Diceros bicornis minor: one gene and its partners. The protein of the gene in region 1 interacts with the protein of each later gene in a biochemical or structural test. Links are inferred from orthologs where the notes say so. Each region holds a gene or a part of one and is shown in the gene's direction. Other genes may lie near its edges. The genes, in order: MYLIP, LDLR and CNPY2.

Region 1 (7,211 bases):
TTCCCAGCTCTGAGCATCTCTCAACTAAATGATCGTGCCACAGAAGTAAGCGTATCAGAAAACGTGACATTTCAGGGCATTCTAGTAGTGAGAAGAAAAACAAACAGAGGAAAGGGTAGTATTTCAGAAAAGAAAAAAGACAGCTGAGAAACAGTAATAGCTGGAAATTTTTTTGTGGAGGTTGTTCTTTCTGTTTATAATTTTCCTAATATTCATAACACTGGGTTTAGATTTGGAACTCCCTACCCCAAGTGTCACTTGCTCTCTTGAAATGTCTCCAGAAGTTCATGTGCAGTATTTGATTATATCACAATCAAAATTTAGAGCACATCACATGCACAGTACAAAAGTAAAACATCAATACCAACTGGAAATGCCTGATAAAATTATAAGTACTTTATTTTTCCCTCGTACTTTTCAATCTTTTCCAAGTAGTCAACCATGAATATGAACTACTGTCACAACTAGAAAAAAATCATTTAAACTGCCTGCTAATTAAGATGATGCCATTTTATATGTTCCAGAATTTGTAATACAGGCGTTGGCTATTCTTTCCTCATTCCCTCTTTTACTCTTTAAACAGCCAGTTTTGGAAATGAGATGCTCTGCTTTGATGGTAGGCTAGGATCAAATTAAACTTCTCCTGAATTTCACAAGTCCAATATTTCAAACGAGAGATTTCAGCTCACTTGACACATTTTAACACACTTGGGTTCGATGAAGCATTGCTTATGTGAATAATTAGCTTGAACAATGTGTGAAAGCAAATGGATAGTTTGTGAGGCAGTCACTAATTGTTCTTCCCTCCACCCTCCTACAAATGAAGGTTGAGAGGGAAAGAGAAGATGGGCCTTTCCTTTAACGCAGCACAGGGTTTCTGCAGCAGTGTGTACAGTGTGGAGAAAGGAAGGAACAAGAATAGATATCCAGCCAGCCAGATCAGACCTAGTGCTCAACCACAAGAAAAATTTTGCAGCCAGACAACCATCCCATCACGTCCTATGAATATTATCTAGTGCTCAGTCATGAACCCTAGTATATGAGACAGAGAGAAAAACTTGGTGTTTGGGTGTGTTTGAACAGCCAGGACTCCACTGCCTTAGCGGACTCTGTCATTTAGTTATGGTTTCTATTTTAAAAATCTACCTTCATGCAGCTGATGTTTTTACTTTGCTGGTTAATTTTAATGCTAGCTTTCGAAGGTAATAGCTAATTGAGAGCAAAAGAAAAGAGACACAGATAAAATGCCGCACCTCTCTGGCTAATGCAGAACTGCTTCAGTCACAGCTCGATCTAATACAGTTACCACCCCCAGGCCAGGGTGTTCAGAGTCTCTTATTTTGGAGTTAGACCCAGCTGGGGCTTGAAACTGGCTCCAGACTTTTAGTAGCATTACCAGATGGTGGGATCCTCTAGAAAGGAATTCTACTGTGGGCTTTCTCTTCTCTAACTAGGTCTTTGGACATAATGTGCTTTCTTAGCCAGTCACCAGCTAACTGAGGCTTCTCACTCCTTAACTAACCAGTCTCTCGCTATCTCTACTCAAGGGAGAAATTAGGAAAGAAACAGAGAAAGAAAGAGAGAGGGAAAGAGAGAGATGATGGTCTCTTATTTCCTGTATATGTTAGTAGAAGACAGTATTCTTTTTCTTTTCAGTCATTAGGATTTCTCCCCCCTCCCCAAGCGCTGTTTTCCTGTTTTTAGCTTTGTTTTCTTTTGTTTTAGGAAATCCTTCTCCTCTTTAGTCTTATCGGGTGAATCTTAATTTCAAAAACAATTGGAATTACCAACCATCTCCTAGCAGGAGCATAATCTGGGTTATGTACAGGTTAGCCACTGGGACAGAGATAATTGGGACTCAGGAAAAGGGGTAAGGACAGAAGTCATTGGCAGGCAGTGACAGAGCCGACATTATAGATCTCCTTACAAACATAGGATCATAACTTGTGTATTTGGATTAGAAATATCCCCACCAAAACCAAAAACATAGGTTATTATTTTTTTTTTTGAGGAAGATTGGCCCTGAGCTAACGTCCATTGCCAGTCTTCCTCTTTTTCTTTTTTTCTCCTCAAAGCCCCAGTACATAGTTGTATATCCTAGTTGTTGGTCCTTCTAGTTGCTCTGCATGGGACGCTGCCTCAGCACGGCTTGATGAGCGGTGAGTAGGTCCACGCCCAGGATCTGAACCTGCAAACCCTGGGCCACTGAAGCAGAACGTGCGAACTTAACCGCTATGCCACCAGGCCAGCCCCAAAGTTATTTTTAAAGTAGTTTCTTCACAAAATGAGTATTTGGTTTTGGTTTTTGCTTGTTTTGTTTTTATTGGGTTTTTATTTTTGTTTTTTGGCCAACCAGTGTTTCTCCCTTTCTATTCATTTTCACGCCTAGTTCCCACTGATTCTGTGAGCTCCCAAAATTTGTGCACTCAATTCCCTTTTGCTTACCTTAGCCAACTTTTGTTTACCTGGCTTTGGGTTAGTCAGCCTAGTGGCTCATAAGCAAAAATATTAACCAAGACACCCAGCCTCCATCTTGGCCCTCACCTCTTCTCCCAGTTGTAAAATTTCTAGTGATTAAGCATAGATTAGATATCCATGATCCAAATGTTATCTCCTGGATAAGTTTCCTGGGTCAGCAAACTGGAATTAAGGGAATGAGGAACAAGAGCTGATCTAAGATGAGAATACTTCAGCAGCACAATATCGGTGTACTCATAAGACACAAAGAAAGATGTGAGAGTGCATATGTCTGTCTGCAACATTGCAGGTAAGGACTTAGACTATTTACAGTTTTACCCATAGTTGGCTTTAAAGACTATGGTAGGATCCTTCCCTGTAGCCTTCTGCTCTGATATCCTTCCTACTCCTTCAGAAATACAGGCCACTGGGACAGAGATAATTGGGACTCAGGAAGGGGGGTAAGGACAGAAGTCATCAGCAGGCAGTGACAGAGCTGACATTATAGATCTCCTGACATACAGAGGGTCGTTCGAATGCTTTTATGAACATTATCTCTGCTGCTCCTCACAGCAATGCTGTGGGGAAGGCAGAGCAGATACTGTGGTCTCCATTTTACTGTGGAGAACACGGAGCTTCAGAGAGAAGTTTTCTAAAGGTCCAAGGCTGAAACCCACATCTTCTCACTGCTGCTATAAAGAAACCAAAGAGGTAGGCTAAGTAATGTATTGGCAAAGAGGAACAAGTACTAAACGAGTGAAGAGTTGTAGATCTGTAATTATTAATAGCCACTACTGAGGTTACACCACCTGTTAGTTCCTGAGATGAGTCCCTTACCTTTAAGATGAGGATAACATCCGGGTGCCTGAGGGAAGGGACCCGCAGTACAGCAGGTGCTCAATTAATGTTTAACGAATGAATGAGATAAGACATGAGATAGGATGGCGACCTGAGAGGGCCTTAGTGCCCTATAAGGTGTTTTGATTCAGCACAACGGGTAAATAGAAGCCTCTAGAGAGAATTCATATAGAAGAACTAGATCCAGCTCCCTGGCTTACTGGTCAACTGCAAAAACTTTTATACTCAGATTTTGTTTTTTCAATGACGAGATCTAAAATGAGGAACAACCGCTCCGCCTCCCAACAACCCACCGTGGCAAACCCCAGGGGAAAATACTTTTCCTTAGACTTTGGTCCCTTTCCTTTTTGCTTTCACCTCCCGAAAGGCGCTTCTGGAGCGACCCAAGGCTTCTGAAGAACAGCGGCAGCTTGGAGGCGTTTAATCGTTGTAAATTCAAGCCCGACAGAAAGGCGTCCCCGCCTGGGAGCCGCAGGCGGTCGCTGGCTCCGCGCAGCGTCGCCCAGCGGGCAGAGGCAGCGGCTGCGTGCCGGCGCCTCCCTCCTCCCGCGGCACTCGGTGCCCGCAAGCTGCCACCTCCCCGGACGGCCCGGGGCACTCAGCCGGCGCTGGGAGGTCCGGCCGCGGCCGAGCGGGCGCTGCTATTGGCTGCCGGGGCGGCGGAGGCGGGACTAGGCGGCCGTGATTGGCGGGGGCCGCAGCCGAAGGGGGCGGGGCCGCTATATCCGAGGAGTCCTGTCGCGGCGCAGGCAGTCGGGTTGTCGGAGTGCGGCGCCGCCGCGGAGAGCTGGAGAGCCGGCGGGCGGACTGGCGAGGGGGTAGCGGGGAGGGCGCGGCGGCCGCGGGGCGCAGGGCCGGGGTCTGCAGGGCTGCAGCCTCCCGAGGGCCAGCCTCGCCGAGCCCGGGGCTGGGTCTGAGCGGTGGCGAGGCGGCAGCCCCGCGCACACCAAAGAGGAGGCGGCTGTGGTGGCAGCGGCGGCCCCAGCCATGCTGTGCTATGTGACGAGGCCGGACGCGGTGCTGATGGAGGTGGAGGTGGAGGCGAAAGCCAACGGCGAGGACTGCCTCAACCAGGTGAGGACGAGGAGCCAGGCGGGGGGGGCCCGGCCGCTTCCCGGAGGCCGAGGGGCCTCGCGGCGGTGCCGGGCGCCAAGGCGCGCCGCTTGCGAGGGGCCGGGTGGCGCTGCAGCGGCGACCCGGGGGTAGCGCGCCCCAGGCGCCCGGCCCGCGCCCCCTCCTCCCCGCGGGCGTGGGGCGCGCGGCCCCCATCCCGGCGCGGCGGGAGCGCGTGGCGGGAGTGGGAAGGATGCGCCCGGCGGGCCTGCCACCCTGCCCCCCAGCTCGGCACTTTCCCGGAAAAAGGCGACTCCGCACACCTGCCGCAGGTGTGTGCGTGATACCGCCTGTCGGGTCCCCGCGGGGCCTGGCAGCGCCACCTGCGTCCCGGGATGAGGTGGCTGGAGGCTGTCGCAGGTCCCTGGGATTGCTTGCCAGACACCCGGGCCCTTGTCTCTTGCTGCTGCTCAACTGGACCATTCACCTGCATCTCCCGATTTGCGGGTGACGAGAGGATCGAAGGTTTGGATGATCCTACACTTCGGTTGTCTTTAAGCACGCGTTTCCTTAAGAGTAAAGAACAGTTCCAAACAGTGCATATTGGTGTGGCAGGCAGCAAATTGGGTCTCAAGTGAAACGCTGTGCCCTCCAACGCCCTAGACCTGCAATGTTTGGAAAACCTCTTGTAAAGCTTAGCTGACACTTGTGGCATGTTTCCTCAATGTGTTTGTTTTTTTTGGAGTCCAGATGGTTAAAAATTGTCCAGATAATAAGCTGCCAAATCAGCTGTGCAGATTGTGCTGGTGGAGGGAATTCCGGTGATTGGAATAAGAGGGAAAATACCCTGTGATTCCCCTCCTCAGCCTTTCTGGAAGACTACTTTTGAGGAGTCCTTTTTCTCTACTGCTATCGGCATGTCCTGGGTATTAAAGGAAGCACAAGGCTTTATACTGCATCTCATGGTTTAGCATCCCTGGGGCCTTAGAACTTTGTTCTTCCAGCTTACAACAGGAATTGTAACACCGTTGAACTTTGTAAAAAGTAGGTAGGAATCAGACTCGGGTCTAGTCCTTGAGTTTGCTTTGACAACACGGACCATTTGCTCATGCATGCTGCATTCATTTGTGTTTTAGGTGTGCAGGCGTTTGGGAATTATAGAAGTTGATTATTTTGGACTGCAATTTACGGGGAGCAAAGGTGAAAGTTTATGGCTAAATCTGAGAAACCGGATCTCGCAGCAGATGGATGGGCTAGCCCCTTACCGCCTTAAACTTCGAGTCAAGTTCTTCGTGGAGCCTCATCTCATCTTACAGGAGCAGACTAGGTAAACTGACGTGAAAATAAACCAGTGTCAAATAGACCTTGGATTCCATTTAGAAAGGGCCATTGCACCTTCCAGAGATGTTCACAGGCAAATTTTTTTTGATAGAGAGTGAGCTGGTTCATAACTTAGAAGTTTTCCATGGCACAGCCCTTTTGTTGAGGTGAAAAGGGTGCTGCATAGTTGGCCTGGGGTACGTTTTCTAACCCTTCATGTGGTTTTTCTTGTCTTTATAAACAATAGGAGAGCAGAGTTGAATCCTTACAAATGCTTGAGATAGTGCCACAAGGCAAAAAAAAAAACAGACAGACCCAACTGACTTCCTGATTGCAGCGTCTAATGCCCGATAGTAACCTCTGCCTCAGCAGTGTTACTCTCGGTCATTGTGCACTGTTCTAACAGCAGGAAACTGTTCCTCTTGGGTTACTCAAACTTGGTCAACTGCTTCAGCCTAGTGTCAGATTACAGTATGTAGCGAAGAGTTCTGTCTGACTTAATGCAGAATTTTAAAAGTTTTTTAAGTTTCTTGAAAACTCGCTAAATTCTTTTTCAGGCCAGTGTAACTGAACGCCAACCCACAGATATGTTACACATGATTGTTGAGTTCAGATGATTGAAATTACCTCCTTACTTCTAGAAAACCACCAGTAGTGGTGGACAAACTGGAGTATGTGGTTTCCTTTTTTCAGACAGAAAATCTTTTCTCCCCTGGACTGGCTGTAATACTTTTCTCAAGGATGAGCCAAACTGGGAAACTGGTTTTTAATATTTATTGCTGAAATGCAAGAGACCTGAGTCTTACAGTGGCATGTCAAAGTAAAGGAAAACAACTACTTTTAAACACAGCAAACTTTGAATCTAAATTCTAATGTTTTTCATAATTGTTTGGCTTGGAAATTTGCCACGCACATGAAAAATGTGAGTGTGAAAATTTTGAGTAGTGATGAGTGAGCAGTATCCTTGGAGAGTTTTTAACATGTCATTTTTTGTTTGTTTGCCAAAGGACTGTTAGAAACATATTTTGAAATACTATTCATTTGAATTTGAAATCTCTGCCTAGTTATGGAGCTTTAAAGGGTGAGGGAAATGTTCGATTTTGTTTCTGAAGAAAGTTGGTGTGTTGAATTGAATTCTTAGTGCTCTGGAAAATGTCTTGCAGGATATTCAAGTGACTGCATGTTTAAAGATGTTTTAGCTGTCTATATTAATCAGAAAAGGCTGGGGGGTTTTTTGGTTTTTTTTACTTAAAGCTGATTTGTGAAAGTTTTCACTTTGCATTTCAGTGTGATAACTTGCAGTTGAGTAAGAGAAAAAATGTATATTACACAATATAGTGGAATCGTCACTGTGTAGTTTTATCATAATTTGCAGTCATTTCAGGGCTTCCAGATACAAATTTATTTTGATGACACAAATTTATTTTTTAAATCTGCAGAAGCATGGAGGACCAAATACATCATTTAAACAATGGCTGCAGTCATCATAGTATAATACATTTGTATTATGAGTGCTTACAGAC
Region 2 (7,665 bases), on another chromosome or scaffold:
CTGTTTTGGGTTTTTTTATTTTTATAATGGCCATCCTAATGAGTGCGAAGTGGCCTCTCGTCGTTTTGATTTGCATTTCCCTAATGATTAGTGATGTTGAACATCATTTCATGCCCTTATTGGCCATTTTTTATATCTTCTTTGGAGAAATGTGTATTGAAGTCTTTTGCTATTTTTTAATTGAGCTGTTTGTTTTTGTTGTTGAGTTGTAGGGGTTCTTTATATATTCTAGGTATTAATCCCTTATCAGATACAGGATGTGCAAATATTTTGTCCCATCCTATGTGTCACCTTTTCACTCTGTTGATAGGGTCATTTGATGCACAATTGTTTTCAATTTTGATGAAGTCCAACTAAATCTATTTTTTCTTTTATTGCCTATCCTTTTGGTGTCATAAGCAAGAAATCATTGCCAAATCCAATGTCATGAAGCTTTAAAACCCTATGTTTTCCTCTAAGAGTTTTATAGTTTTAGCTCTTACTTTCAAGTCTTTGATCCAGTTTGAGTTAATTTTTCTAAATGGTGTGAGGTAGGGATCCAACTTCATTCTTTTGCATGTGGATAACCAGTTCTCCCACCACCATTTGTTGTAATGACTGTGCATTCCCCATTGAATGGCCTGGGCACCCCTGCAAAAATCATTTGACCGTATATGCGAGGGCTTATTTCTGGGTTCTCTATTCTGTTCCTTTGGTTTATATGTCTTTCTTTATGCCAACACCACAATGTTTTGATTACCGTAGCTCTGTTGTAAGTTTTGAAATCACGAAGTATGAGACCTCCAACTTTGGTCTTTTTAAGATTATTTTGGTTATTCAGGGTCTCGTGAGAATCCATATGAATTGTAGCGTGGATTTTTCTTTTTCTGCCAATAAAAAACATCATTGAGATTTTGATAGAGATTGCATTGAATCTGTAGATTGCTTTGGGTAGTATTGACATCTTAACAATATTAAGCCATGAACAGAAATAAAACCTATTTATTTGTGTCTTTAATTTCTTTCAGCAACATTTTTTAGTTTTCAGTGTACAAGCCTTTCACCTTCTTGGTTAAATTTATTTCTAAGTATTTTACTCTTTTTGTTGCTATTGTAAATGGAATTGTTTTCTTAACTTCTTTTCAGGATTGTTCTTTGCTAGTGTACGAAATGCAACTGTTTTTTGTGTCTTGATTTTATATCCTGCAATGTTGCTGAATTCGCTTATTAGTTCCAACAGTTTTTTGTGTGTATGTGGACTCTTTAGGGTTTTCTACATATAAAACTTCTTTTCTATTTCTTCCTTTCCAACTTGGATGCCTTTTATTTCTTTTTCTTGCCTAATTACACTGTCTAGAACTTCCAATTGAATAGAAGTGATGAAAGTGGGCATCCTTGCCTTGTTCCTCATCAAGGCTTTTTACTTTTGAACCACGGGAATGTTTCGACTCTTCATACTAAACGAAAATATACTTTTTCTCGAGTACCTTTCCACTTCTCACACTAAATGCAGCCTCTGAATTCTCAGGCACTGCATGGGCCCATTGTTTATAGAAGATCCTGCCCTGTTCTCTCTCCTGGAGTCCTGGAGCACAAGGTCGTACCTTGGTCAGTTTTGAGTCTCCCCCGACCACCGACTCAAGGCTTTCTCTGTGTCCCCAGTACAGGTTTGCTTTCGAGTCTGGTGTTCTGTCTGAAAGGAAGGACTGGCAGCCCAGGACAAAATTTGAGTTCCTAATCATCAAAATCCCAATGCAAGTAGAACTCAGGAAGGGTGCATCTCTGCTGTTGTTGCAGCCACTCCAACAAGAATTTCTTTCTTTTCATTTACTCATTTTACCTTTACTGCAGGCAGGCAGGGGAGGTACAAGCCATGGACTCTGCCCTCACGTGGCTTATGGGGGTTTTATGGAGATGATTGATGGGGACGGGGTCAAGGCAGGTCCCTAATGGAACCTACTGGAAGGCACCATGGCTCACGCAGTTATTCACTCTCTCTGCTGCCTGCTGGCCCACAGGCCAGACTGCAGCTGCCATGGCTCCCCTCTGCCAAAAGGCCGGACTCCTTTGGCTGAAGACCTACTCTGGTCTGAGCCTTCTGGTGAACTAATGAGCCAAAACCCACGACAGGTGGGCTGTCTATTAGAATGAGGAAAACGCTTACCCTGGGTTGTCGCAGATGACTTTGCCAGCCCAGGATCTTCCAAATGAAGTGGCTTCCATGGAAGGATTATTTTTAAGTGCCTCTGAGGCAGAAGGTCTTCCTTGAGGGAAGAAAAAAAAAAAAAATAGATGCAGTTGCAACACGAACACAGCCAAAAAAAAAAAAAACAAAAGCAAACTCCATATTTGGTGCTTATGTGCCAAGCACGGTTCTAATCACTATATACAGACAGCCCTCATTTTATTGCTTTTCACAGATAATGCGTTTTTTACAAGACCCTCCACCAGCAGAAAGATTACTACTCGCTGAAGGCTCTGGTGATGTTTAGCATTTTTTAGCAATAAAGTATTTTTTAATTAAGGTATGTACATTATTTCTTTAGACATAATACTATTGCACACTTAGACTACAGGATAGCGTAAACATAACTTCTGTATGCACCAAGAAACCACAAAATTTGTGTGACTCGCTTTATTGCGATATGCATTTTGTTGCTGTGGTCTGGAAGGGAACCCACCACATCGCCGAGGGATGACTGTATATATATTAATTTACTTAATCCTCACGACAACCCTGTGAGCTAGTTACGGAAGAGGAAATGGAGGCTCCAAGAAGCAGACTAGAGAAATTACACAGCGTGACCCCCATTCTCAGAGCAACACGTGACCAGGTCCATTCGTGGCAGGGACAGAAGGGGCCTTGAGATTTCCAAAGGAAGGTTCAAGGCGGAGATGGGGAGAGCTGTCCTGGAGACCTTGCTTGGGCTCAGGCCTTGGCACCCGAGGAATGTTCTTTCCAGGCCTTTTGTGGCCCTTTTCCAGGTCTGCCCTTACATCAGTGTTGAACTAGCTCTGGAAACATGCTAAACTAAGTTCCTTCCTGGAAGAAAACCTCTTCCCGTTAACCCTTTCCAGGCCCGTTGGGGAGAAAAGGCCTCCCACCACCAGATACAGAAAGTTGAGCTCACAACAGAAACCGAGCTTGCCAGGTCTTGTAATTTTTCTGAAGGGCAATCAAACCCAGTGCTCTTACAGACATAAAAAGAAAAAAAATGTGGCGTTCGGTATAAGGAATGGAATGCGATGGTGACACATTTGTAAATGTCGTAACAACTCGGAGAACTTGCCCATCCTTGTAAATTTCTCCAGGTGGTTGCTAACTATGTCCTCTGACCCTGACACTGAACCTGCCAAGTAAGGGAAGCAGGCTTATCTTCTCTGAAGGCTGACTGACTGCCCTAGGTCTGTCCAATTCCCCAGTTTGTAAGACCCCAGAGAAATTCCTGGGGGAACCCTCCAAGTCTGCCAGACTTTTTGTGGGGTTCAGACAAGATCCCCACATGTGCTCTTTTGGCAAGGGGGCTCTGGCAGGCAACCTCATGAATCCCAAAACAGACTCTCTAGGGGCTGGCTTGGTGGCGTAGTGGTTAAGTTCGTGCGCTCCACTGTGGCGGCCCGGGGTTCGCAGGTTTGGATCCCGGGAACAGACCTACACAGTGCTCATCAAGCCATGCTGTTGCGGCATCCCATATAAAATAGAGGAAGATGGGCACAGATGTTAGCTCAGGGCCAATCTTCCTCAGCAAAAAAAAAAAAAAAAACTAGACTCTCTGATTCTTGAAAGCTGCTCTCCATCAGCCCTCCGGGGCTCAGGCAGTCAAGTTCAACTCTGAAAGCCCTCGTTTTGTTTGAATTTTACTTTGGGGAGAGGAAGCTGCCCTTCTGTTTATGCAACTCCTTCTCCTAAAAGAATACATCAATATTTACGTCCAGACTCCAGGTATCAGGTCACTTAACTTTAAAAATATTTTGGCTCATATGTCAAGCCTGGATCCCAAGAAACAAAATCAGTTTTTGGCTGTACTTTTGAAGATTTTTCTTAAATGCCTCGTTGATTAGTTTATATGGCGATTTGGAAGAACCACCTAAAAACTATGTACAACTAAACTCAGTTAAAATCTATCTGCAATTCCTAGAAAGGAAAAAGCTGGTAGAGAAAGGAGAGGGAGACATTTTCCAAGATTTGTACTTTTTCCTTTCGAGGCAGAGGGGAGATGTCGTTAACCAATTAGACCATTTGGAAGGACAGATGGTTATCAACAATCTTCTTTGGGTACCAAAGGGAAATGTGGCAATTAAAAGTTAAGACAAATTAAAGAGACATCTTTCAGGAGGCTCATCTCCAATTTGGGGGGGGGCTCAGCTCTTCCGGGCTACCAAACCAATGACAAATCAAGCGGCCTGCCCTGGAGAGGCTTTGGAAAGGGCTGGAATGCAAGTCAGGGTTTCAGGGGTTAAGAAGCCCATGTAACATCAGCCGTTCGAAACTCCTCCTCTCCAAACTCCTCCTCCGGCAGTGAGGCGAAGATATTTGAAAATCACCCCACTGCAAACTCCTCCCCCGCGAGAAACCTCACATTGAAATGCCGCAAATGACTGGGGCCCCGCGTGCAGTCGCTGCCGGGCCGCGCGAAGCCCGGGTTTCCAGGGCCGACACAGCTGACAGGGGCCGGGGCCGGGGCGCTGCTGGCGGAGGCTGGGACCATGAGACTCGCGGGCTGGGGGCTGCGCTGGGCCATCGCCCTGCTGCTCGCCGCGGCGGGGGCTGCAGGTAAGGCTGGCTCCAGGCGCCCGCGCGGGGTGCGGATGAGCCTCCCGAACTCGGGGAGCCCTTTGGTAATTTTTTTGGGGGGTAGAGCGAAAAATAACTCCATCTTTGGGAGGCTTGTGGGAAAATGGCACGAAGTCCTTCGCCAAGGGCGAAGCCGCGTGGGGGAGCGCGGAGGGGGGCGCGGGGCTTGGGGGGATCTGGAGCAGTCAGGGGAATCGGGGTGTGGCTTCCCCCCCGGGTTTCTCCCTTGTCTTCCTCAGAGCGGGGGTACCGGCATCTCCAGCTCTGGGGAAGGAGGGACCCCCTTCTAGAGCCATTCTAGGGGCGAGGGTGACCCGAAGCCCGGCTGCTCAGCCTGGAGGTCCCTGCGGGCGCTCCCCCGCGCGCGTCCACGGGCAGGGGTCACCGCTGCGGCCAAGCGGGCTTTGTGCCGCTCAAGGGCGCCGCCGGCTCCCGGAGCCGGTCGCCGCGCATCCTCCCCTCGCCCCTCATGCGCGCTTCTGCCCAAAGCCGCCGCCCCAGCCCCGCCCCCAGCCCGCGGCCCCGCCCCCTGGCTCCTATTGGGCGCGATTCGAACAGGCGAGCCTCGAGCCACTCCCCTTGGCCAATGGGAGGCGGCGACTGCGGAGGCGCGCGCGGCGTGGGCGGGGCTTGCGCACGAGTGGGGCGGGGCTGGCGCAGGGCTCGCTCCACACCTCGTTCTCGGTGAGGCGACGACGGCGATGCCTCGCGTCCGTCCCGGGCTCCTGCCACAACAGGGCGACACGTCCCGGGCCCCTGGTGTCGCCTCCGCGAGCGTGGATGAGGCGCCCGCCGAGCGCCCGGGTGCCCCCGGTTTCCTCCCGGATCTGTCACAAGGCCTTCGTCGCCATTTAGTCCTCGGGGCCGCCCTCGCCCTGCCCGCCCGGGTCAAGTTCACGGAGGTGTCCCCAGGCCACCCTCAGGGCCCCGGTTCCTTCCGAGGCGGAATGTTGCTTCGGAAACACTCGCCCCTCCTCGGTCGGACGCGAAGGGCACTTGGCGGAGACCGTCAGCTGGGGGGCGACAGCGACACCGGACAGACGCCTCAGGGTTGCGTTGTTTGTTCAGAGGCTCCCAGCGGGTCCTGAGGACTTTTCATTTTAGGGAGATTCAGATTGAGGTTCGGGCAAGAGGCGAGTTGGTGCGCGATCCTGAGTAATCCGGTGGCTGTAAGTGAGCTGCCAGAGGCATGTGACCTCGCCCTGGAAAATAGATAAATGGTCCTTTTCCTGCTCAGAGCCAGCCCAGCCGGGCATTGGCTGCTCAACAGAATGGCAGGAAGCCTTTTTCATTGGCAGGGAGGTGGCTTTGAATTCGGAATCCGACCCTGTGACACATCCGCTTCCGCTGGGAGGGGAGGAAGGGAGGTGGCAGCCCCACAGAGCAGATTATTGTAAGAATTCGGCCACCCAGGTGTGTGAAGCCGGAGGAGAGAGGCTTGCTCAAGAGACACTGGGTTAACCTGTATTTCACACTGTTGGACTCCTTCCCTAAGAGACAATAATGGCAGCGAAGTCTTGAGCAAGATGAGTGGCTTACTTTAGTTTCCTCTCTCACTGGGTGGCTGAGGATCTGATGGATCTTCGGTTCTCAAGGAGGCTTTCAGTTCTGATGTGCTCCCCAGACCGCGGAGAGCTGGCATCTACGTCTCTCCACTGGGGTGAAAACCCTGTTGTGTATTTGTCGCAGCCCTGGCTGCTCCGGCTTGCTCCTTAGCTGTCTTCAAAGCATTTGCGGGAAAAGGATTTCATGTCCGTTTCCTTTGGCAATAGAAGTAGCTGGGCGCTGAACTGTGTGCCTTCACTTAGCCAGATCAAAAGCAGTTAATGTTGTGCGTGGGGTATCGAGTGTGCCAAGGGCACACCCAAACTCAGAGAAAGGAGAGCCTGCTGCTAAGAGCTGTGTCTGCTTTGGCAACATGCCCCAGGGGATTCACTGGTCATTACAGAGTGTACTTTGTTCCAGGACAACATTGGCCAAAGACAGGGAGAACTTTTTTGAGACTGCAAATCTTCAAGGAGCATTACGTGCCTTATTCTAGTTAGTTCTGCTCAGATCTGTGGGGTTCCTCCCCTGATAAGATCTAATTCTAGATGCCTTTGTTGTTCTTCACATTACACATTAAGTACATTAATAGCATCCCCACTTTGCCTGGCTGTCAAGCAAGTGACCGTTTGTTGCTAAGACACTGTGGAAGTAACAGCCGTGAACAGTGACAGAAACAGGCTACCCCTCCCCAAAGGAGCTGGCAGCAAAATCTACCATTCGAGACCACTCCTGGGGAAAATACCTTGACGTCACCTAGTTTGGAAAAAAGCGCTGGTAAATTGATTTCTCATCATTTTCAGCTGAGTCTGGTAACGCCAGCCGTTTCTTTTTGCAAGGAAACATTCCACCTACCATTCGATTTCCCTGTACAGCGAGTATCTTCAGTAGCATGGGAAAGAAAACATCGACAGCATTTACCACCTCATTTGTGTGCTGACGAAAAAGCAGAAATGTGTATTCTCCTTTTCTGTTTCGATAACCTTGTTCGTGATCTGTCACCCGTGGCAAGAGAGATCTAAGGGCTACAGTTTAGAGGGTTTTTTTGGGGGGGGGCATGCACTGCTTAGGTAATTTTAGGCATCCTCAGGATGAGGAGATATGGGAGCCCTGTTCCAGTTTGCTTTTGCTGAAATTCAAATGAAACTGACATGGCAAAGCCAAACCTTGCTTCTGCAATGGGGAGGAAATAACAATGTCCAGTTTCCTGGGGCTGTGGTGTTGAAACAGGGCTAGTTCTGTCCGCTTGCTCAGGACGGTGTTGCCTGCTGTGGGCACACTCGTCTGATGTGTTGTCACTCGGTGCTCCCTGTTCCTGATCCCCGTCCCCGCCAGCAAGGCATGGA
Region 3 (7,961 bases), on another chromosome or scaffold:
TGTCACTGGCTAGATCTCCTCAGAACAAATTTCCGATTCTCCTGTCCTGATAGGAAGGAACTAGGGAGTCCAGAGGGCATGCTGATGTGTCCCTCCATTGAGGAGTTGAAGAATGTCTGGCTTCCTTTCTCCATTCGCATGAAGATGACCAAGAACAAAGGGCTGGATGTTTGCAATTGGACTGATGGGGATGAGATGCAGGTTGTTGAAAAACTGGGAAAAGGAAGGGGAATAAGGGAGAGAAGGTTGGGGCAGAAGCATGACAGGGGGAAGGTGGAGCTTAGTATAGGGAAAAGAAAAGGAATAAGGCCTAGTATTTACCAGTTGTGGGCTTTTCCAGAGTCATTCAGTTCAGTGTTGCGAGTCATAGATGGGTTAGGATGGAGATAACCCACCCTGGTCCCCCGTCCCCATGCCCCAAACTCCTTATCCTCTGTCCCCATTCCCCTTCCTTCCCCATCCTTAAACTTAGCTTAGCAGCCTGGGTACCCCCCTCACAGTGGGGCCCAGCCAGGGCAGAGGAGGAGCATGGTGTCTATGTGTATGACCTGATGGCTACTGTGGTACACATCCTGGACTCACGCACAGGGGGCAGCCTGGTGGCTCACATCAAAGTTGGAGAGACCTACCACCAGCGCAAGGAGGTGAGTGAGGTAATATAGGGCAGGGACTCTCCTGGTGGTGGCCATGATGGAGTCCCAGATCCGTCTTTATCTCGAGTCTGAGCCAGAGTGGTCCAGCCATCACTTTGGCATCAGTCTTTCTCTGTATCTCCACAGGGTGTTACCCACCAGCAGTGGTATCTCTTCAATGACTTTCTTATTGAACCTATTGATAAGGTTAGTTGTAACACATTCCATTCTCCTTTCATCTCCCCTTTTCCGAGCATCCTCATCCTCAGTCCCCTAGAGAATGCCAGGCAGATTCAGGAGGGAGGGATGGGTCCTCAAGAATAAAAAGCATTAGCGGAGCTAAAAATAGTGCCTGTCTTCTGTCTGACTTGGGGAAAAACGCAAAAGAGGGGCCGGCTCTGTGGCTTAGCGGTTAAGTGTGCATGCTCCGCTACTGGCGGCCCGGGTTCGGATCCCAGGCGCGCACTGACGCACTGCTTCTCCGGCCATGCTGAGGCCGGGACCCACATACAGCAACTAGAAGGATGTGCAACTATGACATACAACTATCTACTGGGGCTTTGGGGGGAAAAAAAAAAGGAGGAAGATTGGCAATAGATGTTAGCTCAGAGCCGGTCTTCCTCACACACACACAAAAAAAAAAGGCAGAAGAGACATATAGGTAGGCCATTAAGTGCTTTTTCTTTTATAGCATGAAGCTGTGCAGTTTGACATGAATTGGAAAGTGCCTGCTATCCTTTATTACATCAAAAGGAATCTTAATTCCAAATACAACCTGAACAGTAAGTGGTACAGAGTAGACCCAAGGGCATGGGCAGCTGAGACTGGTCTTCAGGAACAGATCTGGGAAATAGCTTGTTATGATTAGGATCAGTAACCAGTGTTAATATTTCCAGGGATACTAAAGAGATTCCTGCTCATCAGGCCTGAAATTTAGAAGCTGGAGATCCTGAGGGTGTAGTAGGGAAGAAGTGTTGGGGGGAAGTCTAATCATAGTGGCTAAGGGTATGAATTTTGAGTCTTGCCATTCTTATCCCCAAGTGAGGATCTCTTTTTCTTTTGGAGATGAGCTCCTTATTAAGTCCCTTTTTGGTGCCTTTAAACCATAGTTTCTGTGTAACTTTATTTTTCTGGATTTTCTAAGCTAAAGTCTGAAGTGAAAATCTTATTCTTTTCTCTCTGTTGACTCTTGTTTTTTCCTAGCATATTTCTTGATAATTTTCTGATTTGACCTGTTCCATCTACCTACTCTGTTCATTAGACATGATCTTTTTACTCACATGCTTTAATTATTGAAGAATCACAGTGTCGACCCAGTCTCTGGTCAGCCACCATGGGCTGCCCTCCTCTGGTCACTTCCATATCCCCAGCCATCTGTCTTCTGGATTCTCCCTTCCAGTCAAGAACCCTATTGAGGCAAGTGTCCTGCTAGCTGAAGCCTCACTAGCACGGAAGCAGCGGAAAACACATACTACTTTCATTCCGCTGATGGTGAATGAGATGCCACAGGTTGGAGACCTGGTGGGCCTGGACGCTGAGTTTGTCACCCTTAATGAGGTAACCAAGATCAAAGGGTAGGGTATTGGAACAGAACTCTGGGGATATTAGGAGTCATAAGCATTTCTCTGATTTCCTTATTAACTCTTCTCATGTAGGAGGAAGCAGAGTTGCGCAGTGATGGCACTAAGTCTACCATCAAACCAAGCCAGATGTCAGTAGCGAGGATTACCTGTGTTCGGGGCCAGGGACCCAATGAGGGTATCCCCTTCATTGATGACTACATCTCTACCCAGGAGCAGGTAGTAGGATATGGAGGTGCAAGTAAGACAGACCCTCTGCTTATGTAGAGTGCTCTAGAACCCAGGGAAGAGTGGTAGGGGGAGACTCTGCACCTTGCTTCCTGGACGACTTGTCCTTTTCTCTATCCCTAGGTGGTAGATTACTTGACTCAATACTCCGGGATAAAGCCAGGAGACCTCGATGCCAAGATTTCCTCTAAGCACCTCACAACTCTCAAGTCTACCTACTTAAAGCTTCGTTTTCTTATAGACATTGGAGTCAAGTTTGTGGGTCATGGTCTGCAGAAGGACTTCCGGGTCATCAACCTCATGGTTCGGGCGGGGCTCTTTTAAGAGTCTTCTTTGAGCATGGGCCTCTCAGGGTATACATTGTGCTTTTGGAAAAGGGGAAATTATGGATCCTCTACCTTCAGTTTCCCACTCTTTTATCCCTGCCAGGTGCCCAAGGACCAGGTCCTTGACACTGTCTATTTGTTTCACATGCCCCGAAAACGAATGATTTCCCTGCGATTCCTTGCTTGGTACTTTCTAGGTGAGTTGCTCTGTCTTGTAGGGCCTCGTGGTACTCATTAAAAGCAGGAAAAAGTGTTGGAGGGGCCAAGGGGAGTAGGGAGGACCCTGAGTTAGTGGTGAGATTACTGATGGATTTAATTAGTTTCAGTATCCCTTCTGTGCACTAGGGATGGTGTTTGGCTCTTTCCCTTAAGGGCAGTCAGGTTTTTTATTGTTGTTTATTGGGAGTTGAGAATGTTCTGACCTCCCTTTGCTAGGTCCCAAACTATTCTACCTCTACTTCCCCCAGACCTGAAGATTCAAGGGGAGACCCATGACAGTATTGAGGATGCCCGCACAGCCCTTCAGCTCTACCGAAAGTATCTGGAGCTAAGCAAAAATGGCACTGAACCTGAGTCCTTCCACAAAGTGCTCAAGGGTCTTTACGAGAAGGGCCGAAAGATGGACTGGAAGGTGCCTGAACCTGAGGGCCAGACAAGTCCCAAAAGTAAGGCCTGGGATGGGACAAGGGAAACCAGACTGGGTTTTGATTGCACATGTGAAGATTATACCCTCCAAAATAACAATGATGATGATGATGTTAACAGCGGTACCATCCCTACCTTATATATGTAGAGCATTTAACAGTTTACAAAGCATTTAATCCTCCCAACATTCAGTGAAATAGATTTTATTATTGAAACTCTCCATTGGTCCTAATTTCCTCTTGCCCAATTCTAAAACATTTGGGGTAGGTCTGTGTTCTCTTTTCGCTTGCATTTTTCCTTCATAAGAAGTATCCCAGGTGCTTTTTCTCCACTCATCTTAAGAGTCAATGCTCTTGGTTTTGTCTCTGACAGGTGCAGCTGTCTTCTCCTCAGTACTGGCGCTCTGACCTCACCCTCTCCCAACGAACTGCTGCCTCTCCTTTCAGTGTTCTGTGGCCCCAGAACTGGGACATGGCTTCCCAAGTTGGCTGCACCCTGTCCACTTCTAGAATTGGACCTACTTGGGGTCTACAGATGGTGCTATTAATAGAAGTGGAATGTGGCACAATTGTTGCATAGGGTCTAGGAGCCAGATTCCTTTTTTAATCTTTGCAAAATAATGGGCTAGAAACAGTCTAGAATTGACACAGATGGCAAGTAATTGGTATTCTTAATATCCTGGGTAATTAATATCCAAGCAGAGAAACTCCTGGAACCAAAACTGTCAGTTCCTAGTTGGCTAAGGACTGACGTTCTGGACAGTGACAGGATACAACAGGAGCTCAAGACTTAGCTCAAGTCTCTGACTGCTTGCAGGGTGCCTGGAGGGGCCAACATATACAATCTTGGTGGCTCTAGCAAACCAGTGTTGCCAACACCATCATTGCCAAAAGGGCCTTTGGGTCCTAGACAAAGCTTGGCTGCTGGCTTCACTCCTGCTGACAGCTGAGAAGCATCTGTCTTCCATCCACTCTCCTGTCCCAAGTTTTGTTTTTTAAAATTTTGTTTTAAACTGCATGTTTTATAAAATAAAAACAAAAATATTATTGGCTGTCATCTCTCATTTGAGACCTGCGAGTGTGGGGTTCTCTGACTTTGGCCCTCCTCTCCTCTCTTTCTATTGGCTCTCTATTGCAAATGGAAAAAAACAAGGCTTTCAAATTTCCACCTAGAAATGAAGGTAAAGCTCAGGAGTCCAAAGTTAAGGATATTGGAGTAGTATAATTATGTTCTTCCTGGATAATATTACGTATTTGCTGTGGCTGCCTAGAACCCTAAGGTGAGATTTTAAGATGTACAGTATGGTTTCCCCGTTACCTGTGTAAAAGGGGAGGTGGGGAAGCTGACAAACTACAGGTCCCAGGATATCTTAAGACCTGTAGCTATTAACCAAGGATCTGTGTGGTGCTGCGCTGCTTCCTGGGAGTTGTAGTTTCCTGGGTATTGAAACCAGGATTTCTCACTGGCGAGCAGCGCTCCTTTCTTTTTGAAGGTCCTAGCCCACCTAGACTGACGCGCGCTCGCCCGACCGCCTCCATACACCACACCGGGCTCTGTCCTTGCTTCAGGCCACTCCTGTTCTTTGGCTGACCCCTGGTGGTCACGTGGAGCTGCTCGCCACGCAAGTCTGGGTCCTTCTGCGATCCACCCGGGTCCTCGCCGCCTGGGAGCCGCTCCTGTAGCTGCCTGTTCGCGCGAGAGTTTGGAGGGGCGGGTTTGGGGTCGGTCTCTGGCGTGGGGCTCGCACCGCAGGGCATCGGAGCTCTGCTTGGGCGCCCGCGTAGGGTGCGAGGAGCTGGGTTAGGCGGTCGCCGGGGCACCCCGTGTCTGGACAGCGCCGGAGCGCTCTGGAGAAGCCGGGACAGCCCCGCTCCCGGCAGCCAGGTGCTAGGGTCGGGTGCTAAAAGTGCGAGTCCGGCCGTCTTCCAGCGCCTGGGCCACGGCGGCGGCCCTGGGAGCAGAGGTGGGACGGATGCGAGTGGCGCTGAGGGTCGGGGACGGACTGGAGCGAAGGCAGTGGCGGGGTCCTTAGAAAGGTGCTTGCTCCTCACGAGAAATAGCGTCTAGGCTGGAGGTGGGGATGCAGTGATCTTCCGTGCTGGGTCCAAACAGACCCTAGTGTTGAGTGCTGTCCTCGCCGGCCGGCCTCCTCGCTGCCTCCTGGCCTGAATCGGCTGCTCTCCTTGCCAGCAGCTCCTCTGTGCCTGTCGTCCTCGCTTAGTCGCCACCCCGTTCCGTGGCTGCCACATCGCCCTGTGAGTTTAGCAGCCGACGGTGAAGTACCAACATCTAGGGCCTCACCTGTCGACGTAGTGTCGGGCTAAGCCCCAAGTCCCCAACTCGTTCTCTTTCCCACCGCCCGGGGGAATCCGGGTCCTCAAGCGCCGGAACAGAGGAGCTCCTTTGTGTCCCGGCCATTTCCTGGAAAGTAGAGCCAGAGTCACACTGCGGCCTCTGTAGGCCTTGGGATGACGGATGGGTTGGGGGAGGCGGCGTGGGGAGGATGGAGCCAGCTCCCCACACCTATGCTTTATTTCAATCCAAACCCAGGTGGAGCAACCCCATTACGCTAAAGATGAAAGGCTGGGGTTGGCTGGCCCTGCTTCTGGGGGCCCTGCTGGGAACTGCTTGGGCTCGGAGGAGCCAGGATCTACACTGTGGAGGTAAAGGCACAGAGAGAAGTGGGAGTAAGGAGGATGGGGAAGACAGAACCTTGGGAGGGCATGAGATCCAAGGCCTAGTAGAAGGATGAATGGAAATTCCCTGGCTTTGTTTCCTGTCTCTCCCCACCCGCCCTTCTCTCCCCTTGCCCAGCTTGCAGGGCTCTGGTGGATGAACTCGAGTGGGAGATTGCCCAGGTGGATCCCAAGAAGACCATTCAGATGGGCTCTTTCCGAATCAATCCAGATGGCAGCCAGTCAGTGGTGGAGGTAACTGTTACTGTTCCCCCAAATAAAGTAGCCCACTCTGACATTGAATGAGAACTCAACTAATTAAGAAGGACCTTGGTTTAATAGAAATTAAGAAAATATTGACCCAGAGAGGTGTCTAAAAGATTGGGCTGTCTCATTGGGAAGAGGCTTATGGCTTATACCCTATGCACTTGCTCCATGGCTCCAAACCTTAATGCTTTATTTCTGCTGTAGAAGTTGTCAGCAGACAGAGAACCCTGATCAGCCCCCTTCTCCACATCCTTAATCCATGTGACTCAGCTTTTCACTATGACAGTAAGGTACACATATGAACATTCATTCAAAAAAGAAATAGATCAGCTTACCCTTGTATTTAGGAAATTTATTTTAGTTGCAAACATAACACAGGTACTCAGATGTTCCCCCACCCCCCAAGTGAGCAATATATAAAGAAACGTTAAGGTTATGATGCTTGTGAAATACTTTAACAGTTGCTATCCTCAAAGCCTACACTTCCTCTCTGATGCTCTCCTGTTGAGGGCAGGTATTAGTCTCATTGTAATACAAGGAAATAAAATCATTACCTTACATCCATAAAAATTAAGGGAATTCAAAGGAAAAGAACACAGTTGACTAGGGTTAATCAAAGAGGTCTTTGTTTACCTACAATTTGGAGGGAAAGACACCTCTTTTATTTCTTAGCTTGTATAATGAGGTAAAATAAGATCATATATTTGAAAGCACTTTGGAACTATACAAATAAACCATACTGTTTTTAATTAGGGAAGGCTTTTTAGAATAGGTCGGTAGAGCTAGATTTGGAAGGAAAAGTAAGGATATAAATTACTAATGTTCAGAGGTAGAAGAGTGTGACCCAAGGCTGAGGACATTTCTAGGTGCCTTATGCTCGCTCAGAGGCCCACCTCACAGAGCTGCTAGAGGAGGTATGTGACCGGATGAAGGAGTATGGGGAACAGATTGATCCTTCCACCCACCGCAAGAACTATGTACGTGTAATGGGCCGGAATGGAGAATCCAGCGAACTGGACCTACAGGGCATCCGAATTGATTCAGACATCAGCGGCACCCTCAAGTTTGCGGTGAGCTATGGGAGTGGGTGGCTGGTTCTTGGAAATTACGAGAATTATTGGAGAGCCCAAGGGGAAAGCTGGGTTAATGTCTTTGTCCTCCTCTGGAGGCAGAGGCAGGAGGCCTCTTCTTGCTGCCCTCTCACTCGTTTCTTCTTTGGTTGACAGTGTGAGAGCATTGTGGAGGAATACGAGGATGAACTCATTGAATTCTTTTCCCGAGAGGCTGACAATGTTAAAGACAAACTTTGTAGTAAGCGAACAGGTAAACTACTCCTGCCTTACCTCCTTTCCTCACAGCCCTGTGGAACCTGGCACATTCCCTAGTGTATCCCCCAACGACCGCCCAATCTTCTGATATTAGCTCACAAGTTGGCTTCCATTACCCATGGCTTATGGACTTGGGTTGTTCCTCCCCGTTCTCTTCCTGCCAGCTTTCAGAATTTCTGGCTCCCTCACCTGAGATACAGGTGAGAGGATAGTGGGAATGTTTTGTCATTTGAAAGCATATGCTCTGGAAAATGGTGGTTGGTGTGTGTGCCACTTTGGT

The links.
Region 2: of the proteins of MYLIP (region 1) and LDLR, one has a biochemical effect on the other in vitro, tested with the Homo sapiens proteins (4 studies listed by BioGRID, with this or other methods). The link is inferred for Diceros bicornis minor from reciprocal best matches to the Homo sapiens genes MYLIP and LDLR.
Region 3: the proteins of MYLIP (region 1) and CNPY2 form a complex in vitro, tested with the Homo sapiens proteins (2 studies listed by BioGRID). The link is inferred for Diceros bicornis minor from reciprocal best matches to the Homo sapiens genes MYLIP and CNPY2.

Annotation. Positions count from the first base shown.
Region 1 is NC_080753.1:51,016,949-51,024,159, reverse strand, and holds the start of MYLIP (E3 ubiquitin-protein ligase MYLIP), read left to right. Parts: upstream 1-4,153; 5' UTR 4,154-4,302; coding exon 4,303-4,389; intron 4,390-5,504; coding exon 5,505-5,695; intron 5,696-7,211. UniProt on the Homo sapiens protein: E3 ubiquitin-protein ligase that mediates ubiquitination and subsequent proteasomal degradation of myosin regulatory light chain (MRLC), LDLR, VLDLR and LRP8. Activity depends on E2 enzymes of the UBE2D family.
Region 2 is NC_080769.1:8,291,884-8,299,548, reverse strand, and holds the start of LDLR (low-density lipoprotein receptor), read left to right. Parts: upstream 1-4,578; 5' UTR 4,579-4,686; coding exon 4,687-4,753; intron 4,754-7,665.
Region 3 is NC_080756.1:12,477,852-12,485,812, forward strand, and holds the start of CNPY2 (protein canopy homolog 2), read left to right. Parts: upstream 1-4,898; 5' UTR 4,899-5,374; intron 5,375-5,601; exon of another isoform or gene 5,602-5,604; 5' UTR 5,605-5,666; exon of another isoform or gene 5,667-5,867; intron 5,868-5,961; 5' UTR 5,962-5,986; coding exon 5,987-6,074; intron 6,075-6,225; coding exon 6,226-6,341; intron 6,342-7,219; coding exon 7,220-7,423; intron 7,424-7,579; coding exon 7,580-7,676; intron 7,677-7,845; coding exon of another isoform or gene 7,846-7,874; exon of another isoform or gene 7,875-7,881; intron 7,882-7,961. Other genes in the region: PAN2-PAN3 deadenylation complex catalytic subunit PAN2, read left to right, coding at 54-201, 501-653, 780-839, 1,324-1,414, 2,032-2,189, 2,288-2,431, 2,564-2,743, 2,870-2,963 and 2 more. UniProt on the Homo sapiens protein: Positive regulator of neurite outgrowth by stabilizing myosin regulatory light chain (MRLC). It prevents MIR-mediated MRLC ubiquitination and its subsequent proteasomal degradation.